Linked DNA regions of Oryzias latipes. The protein of the gene in region 2 purifies or fractionates together with the protein of the main gene of each other region. This does not show direct contact. Links are inferred from orthologs where the notes say so. Each region holds a gene or a part of one and is shown on either strand. Other genes may lie near its edges.

The links. The genes of interacting proteins can lie anywhere in the genome.
Region 1: the proteins of kiaa0556 (region 2) and ick purify together in Homo sapiens (affinity purification with mass spectrometry; 3 studies listed by BioGRID and IntAct, with this or other methods). This does not show direct contact. The link is inferred for Oryzias latipes from reciprocal best matches to the Homo sapiens genes KATNIP and CILK1.

The regions. Positions count from the first base shown.
Region 1 is NC_019873.2:24,032,089-24,038,381, forward strand, and holds the start of ick (serine/threonine-protein kinase ICK), read right to left. Parts: upstream 3,956-6,293; 5' UTR 3,800-3,955; intron 2,373-3,799; exon of another isoform or gene 2,370-2,372; 5' UTR 2,227-2,369; coding exon 2,126-2,226; exon of another isoform or gene 2,122-2,125; intron 1,965-2,121; coding exon 1,910-1,964; intron 907-1,909; coding exon 785-906; intron 696-784; coding exon 616-695; intron 543-615; coding exon 410-542; intron 332-409; coding exon 160-331; intron 1-159.
Region 2 is NC_019877.2:9,517,447-9,523,764, forward strand, and holds the start of kiaa0556 (protein KIAA0556 homolog), read right to left. Parts: upstream 3,747-6,318; 5' UTR 3,600-3,746; intron 3,100-3,599; 5' UTR 3,008-3,099; coding exon 3,002-3,007; intron 2,765-3,001; exon of another isoform or gene 2,735-2,764; intron 1,756-2,734; coding exon 1,667-1,755; intron 1,390-1,666; coding exon 1,226-1,389; intron 861-1,225; coding exon 748-860; intron 654-747; coding exon 552-653; intron 399-551; coding exon 246-398; intron 92-245; coding exon 1-91. Other genes in the region: dcun1d3 (DCN1-like protein 3), read right to left, coding at 5,210-5,747. UniProt on the Homo sapiens protein: May influence the stability of microtubules (MT), possibly through interaction with the MT-severing katanin complex.

The sequences.
Region 1 (6,293 bases), on a different chromosome or scaffold from region 2:
GCTCTACAGGAACTATGTCCAAGAAAACGACACAGGTGTTTTGATTTTGGCAAAAAAAAAAAACAACAGCTGCACAATCATGATTAAAAGAGCACTGGGAACGCTTTAAAAATAGATCAAAAAAATGATCAGACTGGGTCTTTGACACAGCAGAGATACCTTCTTTGGTGTACCCAGTACTTGGCATATCTTGAATATGGTGTCCACCTCGCTGGATCCTGGGAACAGAGGTCTGAGGGTGTAAAGCTCGGCCATGATGCAGCCCACTGCCCACTGATCTATGGGTGAACTGTAGGATGTGGATCTGAGGAGCACCTCTGGAGCTCTGTACCTGATCCAAAACAAGGACAACCAGAGCGTCTGAGCTTCTTTCATTTCAGTAAGTGTGTGTGAACAAACAGAGACTCACCATCTAGTGGAGACGTAGTCAGTGTATGGAGGCCGAGATCTGATTTCACGAGCAAGCCCAAAGTCCGCTATTTTCACCAGCTCTGGGCCCATGCATAAAAGGTTCTCTGGTTTCATGTCTCTGTGGAAAAACCCTAATAGAGACACGGCTCATGAGCTTTACAGCTCAGCTGGAGGAAGTCTAAATGGGCAAAAAAACAAACTCACCGTGTTTATGGATGAATGCTAGCCCCTGCAGGATCTGAAACATAATATTTCTTACAGCAGATTCGGGAAACAACCGAGTCCTGCAGCATAAAACATTCAGTTAGGAATCTCTAGCACTGTTGTTCAATGTGCTAATAGAAAGTATGAGCCCAAAGAAACTTGCACACACCTGTCTTTCATCAGCTGATACAGATTTTCTTTCATGTACTCAAATATGAAGTACAAGTGGTCGTTTTCGCGAATCACCTCCTTGAGTTTGATGACATTAGCGTGGTTGAGTTTCTTCAGGGACTGTAAAACAGGTTTTTGTAAGAGACGTGATCATGTATAAGTCTAACCATGCTGGATAAAAACTGCAGGTCAGTGGAGCAGAAGATCACCTTTGCTTAAAATGTAAAAAGCTAAAAACACTTTTAAGAATATTTTACAGGATCTATGTAAAGTATTCCCATGCATTGGAATAATGCAGGTTTACTCATGCTCCATTTATGTGAGCTTCGTTAAAAAAAAAAATCAGCGGCAAGCATTTAAAAGGATGTGGAGCAGGCTATCATTCATTGTAGATGTTAAGTTTAAACTTTAAGGGGTAACAAAAGGTAAGAAGCATCTGCATACAAAAATCACCTACTGCCCTGAGAGCTGGTGTGACGAAATTTACACTATAAGCATACTACACTGGTGCAAAAAGAAAGAAAAGTTGGGATTACTCCACAGCTAGACTACAAGGTACATGATCTAAGCACAACCTATTAATAATCAGTCAGACAATAACTCTATAGCAAATATAATCAGGATCAAGGCCATCTGTTCATCAATCATGTTGGTATCTTTTTGTATCCTATCAATACGGAGTTAAATGCTGGGTAGCACCTGCCAAAAATATATATCATTATTGGTGGCAGTGAATTAAACCATGATTTATAGCAATATAAATCTTTAAAAAATAATGTAATAATTAAATATATTGACTGAAATCCATGTTTTCATTCCTTTCTCCAGTGCAAAATGGTTTTCTTTAAGTGGAAGAGTCGCCCCCTGCTGGTTGTCAGAGGGATCACAGGTTTCAGGAATTTTCAGTTGCCAAATTTATAAACATGAAAATAGTTTTTTTTCCCCCTAAAATTTAAGCTTTAACAGTCTTTTTAGATGAAAATTTTGTAAACCATTAACCCTATAGTGAAAATTATCACTGAAGCTCTAAATTTTAAATCAAGAGGCTGTAATTTTTTGGCTGTTATTTCCAAAATGATTATGCTTTTTATTATGTAAAACAGTGTTAGACATTTAAACTTACCTTTACTTCCCGAAGGTTCATGCATTCTTCCCAAGAGTAGAACTTTCTTTTCATTCTAAAAAAAATCAGTTTTAGATTTCAGAAAACAACCAAATATTACCAAGCGTTTTAGCTTTTTAATTGATAAATACTTTCAAAATATGTAAAACTCTTAAAAGTATTTGTTCATAATTATGAGGTACTCTTTAGCAGAGCATTTTTTAAATGAAAACTCACTTTTTTATGGCAACTAGTTCTCCGGACTCCAAACTGCGGCCCAGAATGACTGAGCCGTAGGTGCCGTCTCCGAGCTGTCTTATGTTTGTGTATCTATTCATTTTGCTCAACCGTCCACATTATCCTTTGAAAGCAGTTTAAAACTCTCCTGCTGCTGCCGAATGCAACCAGATTTTCCTGTGACAGCAGCAGAAACCTGGAGGCAGAGCTGCAGGAGTCATGGTGCCATGGATTTGACTCCTTCCTGCTGATAGGTTACAAGGAAAAATGACAAAAACGGATGTTAGATGAGATTGTAATCGGCGGGCCAACAGGAGCATTTTCCCAACGAGAGCCTAAAGTCTACTACCTCACTGTTTAAAAAATAAATAAATAATAATTTATTTATGACCATTAAGCCATCAAATATTTACAATAATCAACATGTAGTGATAAAGAAATATAGTGATAAAGTGATTTTTTTTCCTGACAATTTTACATTTGACTTTTGCAGCACATCAGTCTTTTCAAAATAAAATACACTCAAAGTCAAAGAATATGTGCTTTAAGCTTATTCTAATAATAAACCACTCTGACTGCAGATTCAACTTTTTACCATCATTTCAGAAAACTGACACATCTGACCTAATCACAAAGAATGACTTAACTAAAACAAAACATTATCTATGTAGATTATCATTGAAAGCCAAGAGCCACAATGGAGGGACGAAAGAGCCCCATGTGGCTGCAGACCCCGATGCTAAATAAAGAAGCCCAGAGACATTTAAAATTTGAAAACATATCAGAGCATCAAACTAAGTATGTAGTGAGGACCTTCCCCCCAGTACAACACAAGACGACCGAAAATAATTCCTCAAAGATAACAGCAAATGTGAATAAAAACATGTTTGCTGGGTAGAAATGAGATGTTTTCCCTGCTTCTTTTCCCTCAAATATCGGATGACTTCTTTAGAGGTGCTTAGCATCCACCTGTTGGTGGATGGTGGAAGCAAATTATAGTGTTTATGTTAGAAAAAGACTGCTTCCATATGGGTCATTAACAGCAAAAATCCTCAATGATTTTGTGGAGTCAATCCGTTTTTTCCCCCTCAATCTGCATAGGAGTCCCTGTTGAATCTACTACACACGTACATAATCAGCATATAATAGTTAGATAATAATAATAATAATAATAATAATAATAATAATAAATGTATATTTATTCCACAGTGCACGTTGTCATCATATCTGTTTCTCTCTCGGGAATAACAAACAAATATCCATTTAATGGGAAAACGCAGAAAATCATTTAAAATACTTTAATCTAGATATAATGATTATTTCTTAAAGTGCGCTTATATCGTCCTTAGCATCTTTAAAAGTCTCCCAAATCGCTGTGTTCACAGTTTAGCTTATGCATCTCATAATGAGCAGCTACCGTCTGGGCGTTTAGATAAATGTTAACCTGAACGGTTCCGCTTGACTGGGTTCATTACTACAACCGAATCCTGTGCAGGGTTTTTTTTCTGCCACTGATGGTAGTAGATGTGGGAATAATAACGCTGTGCGCTCATTTTGTTGCCAATTTCTTTAAAGGCCCAGCTGCTGACAAAAAAAACACAGGAAACAATTGCTACAGTGGGATTTTCCCACTTGTGTTAGAAAATAATGCATTTAAAAGTCAAACATTCTCACCATTCCCGCCTTAAACCGACATTAGACAAGCCGACCACTCAACTGCAGTGTTTACTAAAGCGACGGCGTAAAAAGACGAGATGAACAGAAAATCCCGAAAACAACATAAATATTTTCCAGCCAGGCCCTCGTCAAATCTCGCGATGTTACAGGGAACTTGGGATTTCGACAAATCACTGCATGGCTTAGGTGGAAAGAAAGAAATGTTGTTTGTGTCGCCTTTGCGTGTCACGAATAATCTTACTAAATTATATATGTTTTTCGAACGGATTTATTGGCTTGTTGCTTTGATTTATGTAGACTGCATAATTATTGAGCATGCATGCAGCCAAGCTTATTCTTTACGGAATCAAAACCCTGACTAATGTACAAATGTGCAAACTCAAACAGAAAATTACTTTAAATTTTTGGTAACATGTAAAGCGTATTAAATACGTAGTAATAGTAGCATTAAAGAATGTTTCGCTTCGTAAAACAATAGCGGAAGTGACGCAATGTTCCTCTTTCCTTGGCACACTTTTTTTTTCCTTGGCATACTTCTTTGGTTAAACATATTTGGTTCAAACTTTTATTTAAAAGGTCAAGAGGAAAATAGCACTACAAATAATAATAATCATAATGGATTGGATTTATCTGCGCTTTTCCAGACGCTCAAGGCGCTTACACTGTGACCATTATTCATTCACTCCTCATTGATACTTGGTGATGGTAGCTACTGTTCCTGGGGCAGACTGACATAAACTAAAGTTTCTATGCCGGCGTGATTGTGTAATTATGTTTTTTTTTAAATATTTTTTATGTTTTAAATATTGTCATTAATGCTGTTTTGACCAGTGTTTTTGGGCAATTTGTCTTTATTTCAGGGAGAAAAAAAGCTATCTGTGAAGAAAACGTTTCTTACTTATAAGCCTGTGTAATTTTAGTAGTTTCTGGTTATATTTATTTTTCTACATTTTTCTATTTTTTTTCTAAAATCTTGGTTTGATACAACCAAACTAATCTGCATTTCTGTAAATAATAATTTTAGATTCAAAGAAAGTATTATTGCTGGATCTTAATACCATGATTGTAGAAAACTGTCAAATATTTTGTCACAATCTTGACACTGATTCTTCATTTTTTTGTTCTAAAGAAAACATATTTCCCGAGAGGTTAAAATAAATGCATACTTTTATTTGGTAGGTTTTCAGGTGTTGATTTTATTTAGGGATTTTTATATGATTTTATTATAATTATTATTACTATTATTGTTATTATTATTAACAATAAATTTGATCTCCAAGAGTTTGATAAGCCCTCTCTGGGGCGAAGCTATGGAAGCGATTCTGTAGCATTAATAAAAAGCAAAGTCAAAACCAGAAATGCTTTTTCATTTTCAAAATGAAGCTGCATTTTTTGACTCAAAAATAAAATGAAAAAGCAATCCACCAAAATGCTTTTTCTTTTCCTTCCTCAACACAGCTTATTCTGTCACTTAATTAAAATTAAAATGAAAATGGTATTTGACATTTCATTTTCAAGACGTTCTCTGGTAAATGTGTAGCATAATTGATTTAGAAATGTTTAATTTGATGTTTAAAATAGATTAATAGAAATGCTTTTTAATTTTCAAAATGAAGCTGCATTTTTTGACTCAAAATTTAAAAGAAAAAGCAATATACCAAAGTGCTTTATCATTTTATACTTCAACCCAGCTTTTTCTGTCACTTAATTAAAATGATAAAGAAAATGGTATTTGACATTTCATTTTAAAAAAGGTCCACGGTAAATGTGTAGCAAAATTCATTTAGAAATGTCTAATTTGACAATTAAAATGGATTAACAGAAATGCTTTTTAATTTTCAAAATGTAAGTGCATCAAATGACTCAAAATTCAAATGAAAAAGCAATATTTCAAAATGCTTTTTCATTTTATACTTAAAACTGCTTATTCTGTGTCATAATTAAAACGAAAATGCAAAGAGGGGATTGCATTTGTATTTTAACATCCACCCTGGGAAACTTGTAGCAATATTCATTTCTTAAAAGCATTAGCAGAGGGGAGGCGGGGCGATGACGTCACTGCTTTCTCCGTGTGTACGGCCGCTGACACACACACACGCACCAGGAGCAGACTGTGTTAGCGGCAGAGAAGACGGCTTTGAGTTGGTTGTGAACTTCTGATGAGTTTCCACAGCTTCTCAGGACTACATAACAGCATGTCCTTCTTCTGCGGTCCTCCTCCTGACGCACCGCGGACACGCTTTTGTTCTTTGGACCGCCAGCTGCCTTCGCATAGCGGAGCGCGAAGCTCCCGATGATCGCTGAAGGCGGAAATGCTGCTGCGATCTGAGAAACCATCATATGAATTTGTGTTTCCAGTGGTGTCCAGAACAAAATAAACACTGATGCAATTCCCACATATTTACACATTAATTTGCAGCTTCGCGCTGAATTTGCTGTTTGATGACAGCTGGAGCCCCATCAACAGATAGCAGATTTCTCCATGCTAAAC
Region 2 (6,318 bases):
TCTGCTCCTCTACCCACTCCTCATCTGACTCCTCCCCCGCTGAAACGCTGCTGCTCCGTCGCATGCTAACCTCCAGGTTCCGACGCAAAACCTAGTTCAGACAGGCAAAAACGCTTCAATTCCTGGAGTCATCAGTCACGCAAATATGCAGACATTGACAATGTTATAATTTGTGATGACTTATATCTACATTTCCTATGTGATAAGAAAATTCCCCACATATTTGTGTGTAATATTCCGTTTACCTTCACTTCCTCAAGGTTCAGGAGCACCTTCTCAGCATGCTCCTGGCTTGCTTGGCCTCCCTGGCTCTCGGGCTTGGAGCGTGAAACCTTGCAGGGGTCCCTCTGGCAGCAGGGACTATGAGGGGAGCGAGGACTTGAGAGAGGACTAGAGCTCTGTGCAGAATCACAGTCGTCAGAAGAAAAAAAAAAATGGGAAAAACAAGAGAAGATAGAGAGATGCTGAGTGGTTGAGACAGCTACATCTTACACACAATGCCTTCCCTAAAACACCCACACACGCCGTCTTAGTGGAAATCGTCACCCTACCTCCATGTCTACACTTTCATAGGGATCAAAATCATCAGAGTAGCGCGTCTCTGGGGTTAATTTCAAAGTTGGGCCATCCTCTGTTTGTATTTCAACTGAATTCTTAAGACAGGAAAGGGGAGATTATGTAAATAAAAAACATATTGGTTTTTTTTTTCTTTGTTAAATCATAGAATGTAATATTAGAGGGCTGTACCTGCACCCATTCTTTCCTCTGAACCTTTTCTGGGGCGGTTTGGCTCCTCTTACCGTTTGTCTGATCTGGAAAGCGGCTAGCTCCGGCTAGCTGGTGGGCGCTTCTACACACATCTGCAGATGAGTCAGAGCACAGAAAGGAGCATGAGCAGCATACAGCAGACTGCTGCCTCAGGGGAGAAAGACACATGCAGATGGTGCACAGCACATGCAAAATGACAAAAAAAAGCAGGCAAATAAATAATTGCTGCAAGCTATAATTGTCACTTCCATTTACTCACAATGACTGAGCACAGAAGCAGAGCATGCAAACCACAAGCTGAGGAAGAGGTGGTCTTTAATTGCTGCATTGAATTTGTTTCATATGACAGAACTATGCAGCTTGATTCAATTGTAGCTAACAAGCCTTTAAAATGTCATCCATAAGTTAAAAAAAGAGGATGTTTGATATGAAATTGATTTTTTTAAACACAGCATACCAGCCGCATGTGCATGCAGAGAGGAGTCAGGCTTTTTTGGGGGGCTTTTGGGCTGCCTTTTGTTACATTCAGCATTGGCTCCGTTAAGATATATTGAAAATCCTTGCTCAAGACGTTCCAACTCGATCTCTTTGGGGCCTTTTACTCTGAGGCGCTTTAAGATTCTGAAAACCAAAGAAAACTGTTCAGTACCTAAAAAGAAGAAGTAAAATAAAAAATCACAGGGTTTAAGTCAAATATTTTAATAGATAATAAGCCATTTAAACTTCCTTAAAAAAACAAAACAAAGTCCATAAACTTCACAGCTATAAAAATGTATTTTTCAAAGCCAAAACTCAAACTAATCAGTGTAGCTGCTGGACACCACTGAAAGTCAAACAAGATCATCTCCTCTGTGAAATCCAATCTGGCCATCTGGGTCCGCCTGTGCTCACACCTCACCTGTTTTTGTGTTGGAGGGAGATTAAATATTCATCCAGAGTGTCATCTCCAGCAAAGGCAGGTTTCTCCGTTTGGCACTTCTTAGTCTTCTGCCGGAACATATGCATAAAACAAACCACACACGATCAAGAGTCATAAAAACTCACAGCTGATGGCACAAAAAAGGCGCTACTTTTTTTACACCAGTATTCACAAAAAACCTAATTATAGGCATTGAAACATTTATGCATGCAACTTTGCTCTCTCAGACTGGTTTAAAAATAGAATCAAGCTTTATTGTAGAAAAACGTTAAAACATATCACTAATAGTGAAATGTTCAGAAAGGTAAGTAAAAGCTGAATTAAAAGCTTAAAGTCTTAGAGCATCTGTGTCAAACTCAAGGCCCACAGGAAAATTGTGGCCCGCCGTGTCATTTAATGTGGCCCGCAAGAGCATAAAAGTTTTTAATTTCTTAAAATAATTATTTTTTTTTGTTGATTACATATTATTTATGTGTAGCTACTGTCTTTTGTGTGTATGCAGACAAATTGTTGTCATCAAACCATCAGTTGGATGCAAGGCTGTATGCAGCCTTTTTTTGTAAAATGTTACATGTGTAATACATGTTCTTTTTAGCTCAGTTTTGTTATTTTTCTTTATTCACTTGGACAGTCTGATCCTTCATTAATGGAGTTATGTGTGTTTTAATAAGTGAACAAAATTTAAAAGGATTTATGCTAGAGTAACAAGCAAACATATGTTTTCTATGCAACTGTAATTGTCACTTTAATAAGTTGACACCCTTGTCTTAGAGGCAAATAGAGACACAAATATGAATCTTTGCGGCAATAAACCGTACAGAAATGACCAAAAAAAATGAAATAAAAAATGCAAATTCAATAATATGTAAATAATAAATAATGATACTATAAACATGGTACAGACAAGAAAAAGCACCAGCATGATATACTGGGAAACAGAGCAGAATGAACGTGGAAGAAGCACTGGCAGTGTCAGAACAGTCACAAGTCATGCCAGTTCCATCACCATGAGAAATCATGCAACAGAAGAAAATAGGAGGGTCTTACTTAGGATCTACAAGTCAAAATCTACAGCTTCTGTCAGGGAGAGAAGGAAGGCAATGAATATTTTAAGGAGGGAAATAGAAAATACTTGTTAGTGAAAAATAACATCTGTAGGGGGGGGGGGGGGGGGTCGTTCTTGGCTACCGATTCCAGAGGTTTTCTTGATCGTAAAGCGGGGGGGTTGAGAAAAAAGTGAGTTGACAGTTGATTCGAATAAAGAAAACATGTTAGCGACAGAGAAAATGAGTGGTTACATAAAACTCATCTCACCTCCATTGTGTGCTGCGGATGATACCGACCTAAAGAAACTATCCCATAATCTGCAGGAAAGCGAACGTTTTTAAGGCATCTTTACAACTCGTTCATCGCTGAAAGGGGGAAATTCCAAGGTTAACATTCACATCTGTCCTGACAAGAACGTACCTCATGTTCGCAACAACAACATCCTCGAAGAATCTGAACAAAACGACCCCGTTAGTCTTTGTGTCTGCTTTTCTCGTTGGTAACAATTTTATTTATTATAATCCCACATTTCGTTTGTGTAACAGTCGGGGAGTTGTCGTCCGGTAATGCTTACCATTTCTGTTCAACATTAACAAGTTACGGTTAGATGATTAATGTTCCTTTTCTGCTTGCAATACTGCTTAAAGTTAAACACATAAATGATCTTCATAGGAATCCACAACATTAGCAAGCTTCTAAATCAAGCTAGCGCCGATGCTAATAACAAACGGAAAGCTAGTGAGTTAGCATGTGACAAGTTGTTAACAAATACAATAATTTAAAAAGTAAATACAGCCTTCAAAGTCTTTTGAATATTTTACCCTCCCCCTCCCGAAATCCTTTGTAAATGTAGCGAAATACTCACTTTATGTAAAGACGCTATTGTTTTTAGGGGGGTCATTACGACTGGAAATACACATTTATTTTCCCTATTTTCTCATGTGTCTCGTGTATTGTTGGTTGGTAACCAGGATAGCTGCCCACCAATGAGAGTGGCTCATTGTTAGACACGCCCTCTTCCCGGTCTCCGATTTGGCTTTGCATGTGACGTCACCACTCCATGTCTTTAGATTCCACCAATAAAAACCTTTCTAGGGCAGAAAAGGGTAAAAATACATACCTGCTTTTATTTGTTTTTATATTTCATTATAAACTGAAATGAACATGCTTGGTATACAAACAAAAAAATAAGAAAAGAAAAAAATGTAAACCAAATAAACCTGGTAATACCCAACCTCAAACTGGACCCTTATCACAGTCTGTTGATAACCAGCAGGTTTAATTAACACTCGTTTCAAAGTAGCACTTTATGTGCACAGTTTGGAAAAGTCTCAAGATTTTAAATGTGTTTAACATCAATCTCCGCATAGCATTCAGAGTACAGCAAGTTAACAAGTCATTGGTTTCTGTGCAATTACAGCCATTATTTATGCAATCAAAATAACTTCAAAAGTTGCATATTTTTGTGTTGCAGTTTAAAGATGCAAAAACTCAAACTCTTGGAGTACAAAAGGACCTTTGTGAGACTTCCAACTATTCTAAATATACTGCAAGTTTATCCATTTACTTTAGAGTATTCATACTTGGATATACTTGCAATATATGTCTCCCAGATGATATCTATGAAGCAACTGACATGGGCCAGTGTCATTGACTTTCTGTTGCATCCCTTTAATTCCCTCTTGAAAATTGGTGGACATCAACAGAATTGAGGTCAACTGGAAGCAAAGCCACTGCTTAAAACAAGCTCTGCTTCTCAAGCCCAATAAGCACTCAAAACCACTCCACGCAAGAGATGGTGCGTCAGTTACCGTGGAAACCATACCAAGATTTAAATATTCCCAAAAAAACACAATGTAATTCAATCGCCCACTGAGATCAATGGTTTTTTGCATGTATTAGTAAGTCGCCGTGAAGCCAATCAGAGTAAATGAACCCACATTGCACTGGAAATCAAAACTAATATCTGACAATATAGGTCCAATCAACACACAATACTTTCTTAGATATTACAATTTTCATGTCTGATAAGAAATTATTTGCAGACAGGCTGCTAAAATGTCCCTTCTTTATTAGAAACCAAATCATTATACAAAACACATTAGGTTAAATCTGTCAAATTTGGGTAAAAGGCTTATGGCTCCGTTATGACCACTTTAAAAACCACGTTTTTATTTAGCAAATTCTGCTGGTTTAAGGTGTGTATGTGTTGGTATTAAAATAGACCACAAGTTCAATGACTAAAAACATATGGAAGGAAGGGGGAAACATAAAATAACTTAAATAGAAGTGCTTAAAACAGTTTTAGAGCCCTTAGAACATAACACAAGAGAAAAGCGGAAATCCAATCCCAATATTAACGGAGAGCTAAAAAAAGCGAATGAAATGGTAATACTCATTTATCCAATGATTCACAGATGTACGTTTCACTTAAAAGTATCCTTCTCTCTCTTGCAAATGTTGATTATTTTCTGGTCAGTGCCCCCCCCATGTCTGTGACCCACGACCCCCCTCTGTTTCAAGTCCATCTGTGGTGGAAGAAGCCTCTGTCGTAGAACATTTTTCTTCTTCCTGTTTTGCAAACAGTGCCTGGTCTCTTTTTCTGCGCTCCAACTCCCACTCTACGAACGTGTCGAAGAGGCTGGGCCAGGCCTCGTCCTCGCTGTAGTTATTCAGGTCAGGCCCTATAGCCTGTGTGAAATTGAGGAACATGTTCCACGTGTCCCTTGAGATGCCCCGAATTCCAGAGGGGTTCTCAGCAAGGAAGTCCAGCCAGTGTTCCAGGATCTCTGGCTTGTTTTGTGTGAAAACCAGCCGCCACAAGGCAATGGCGATGTCACGCTGCAGAGAGCGCTGGCCCTCGTCAGCGTCCAAGCCGAACTGGAAGGTGAAGCGGTAAAGGTCTTTGAAGTTCTCCTCACCCTGGGCCTCCACCAACATGCAGGGGAAGCGTGAGCAGATGCCCTCTATACTGTCCGCCTTTATGGCCTTGCACCCCTCAACAAACTCCTTCCTGGAAACAAAAGAAAATAAGACAAATATTAGACATAAAAAGAGTATTTGGGCAGTAGTTGGAGACAGAGTTCACGACACGCGAGTTCCTGCATTGTAATGAGAAAAATGTGTCAATTTAAGTGGTATAAACAAAATTGAAAAGAAAAAAAAAAGTAATTTAGATCAACATTTTAAATTGAGTTGGATAGACATAAAAAATTAAGTTGTATAAACTTAATTTAATTACGTGTTACCAATTTAAGTGAATTAATTAAGTTGGATCAGCTTCCTTCTTTTTAGAGTGTATGATGAACACGACACTAAAGAAGAACATCTTTACAGAAAGACTACTGGCCAAAAAAAAACCTGCAAAAAATAAGTTTAAGACATTATGACTTCATATACACATTACACCGATTTTAAGATCGCTGCATTGGCTCCCTGTGCAATTCAGGATTGATTTTAAAGTTCTTTTATTGGTTTACAAATGTTTTTATGGTCTCGGGCCTTCATATTTATCTGACATGATTTTAAAGTATGAGCCCCCGCGGACCCTGAGGTCCTCTGATACAGGCCTTTTGGTTATCCCA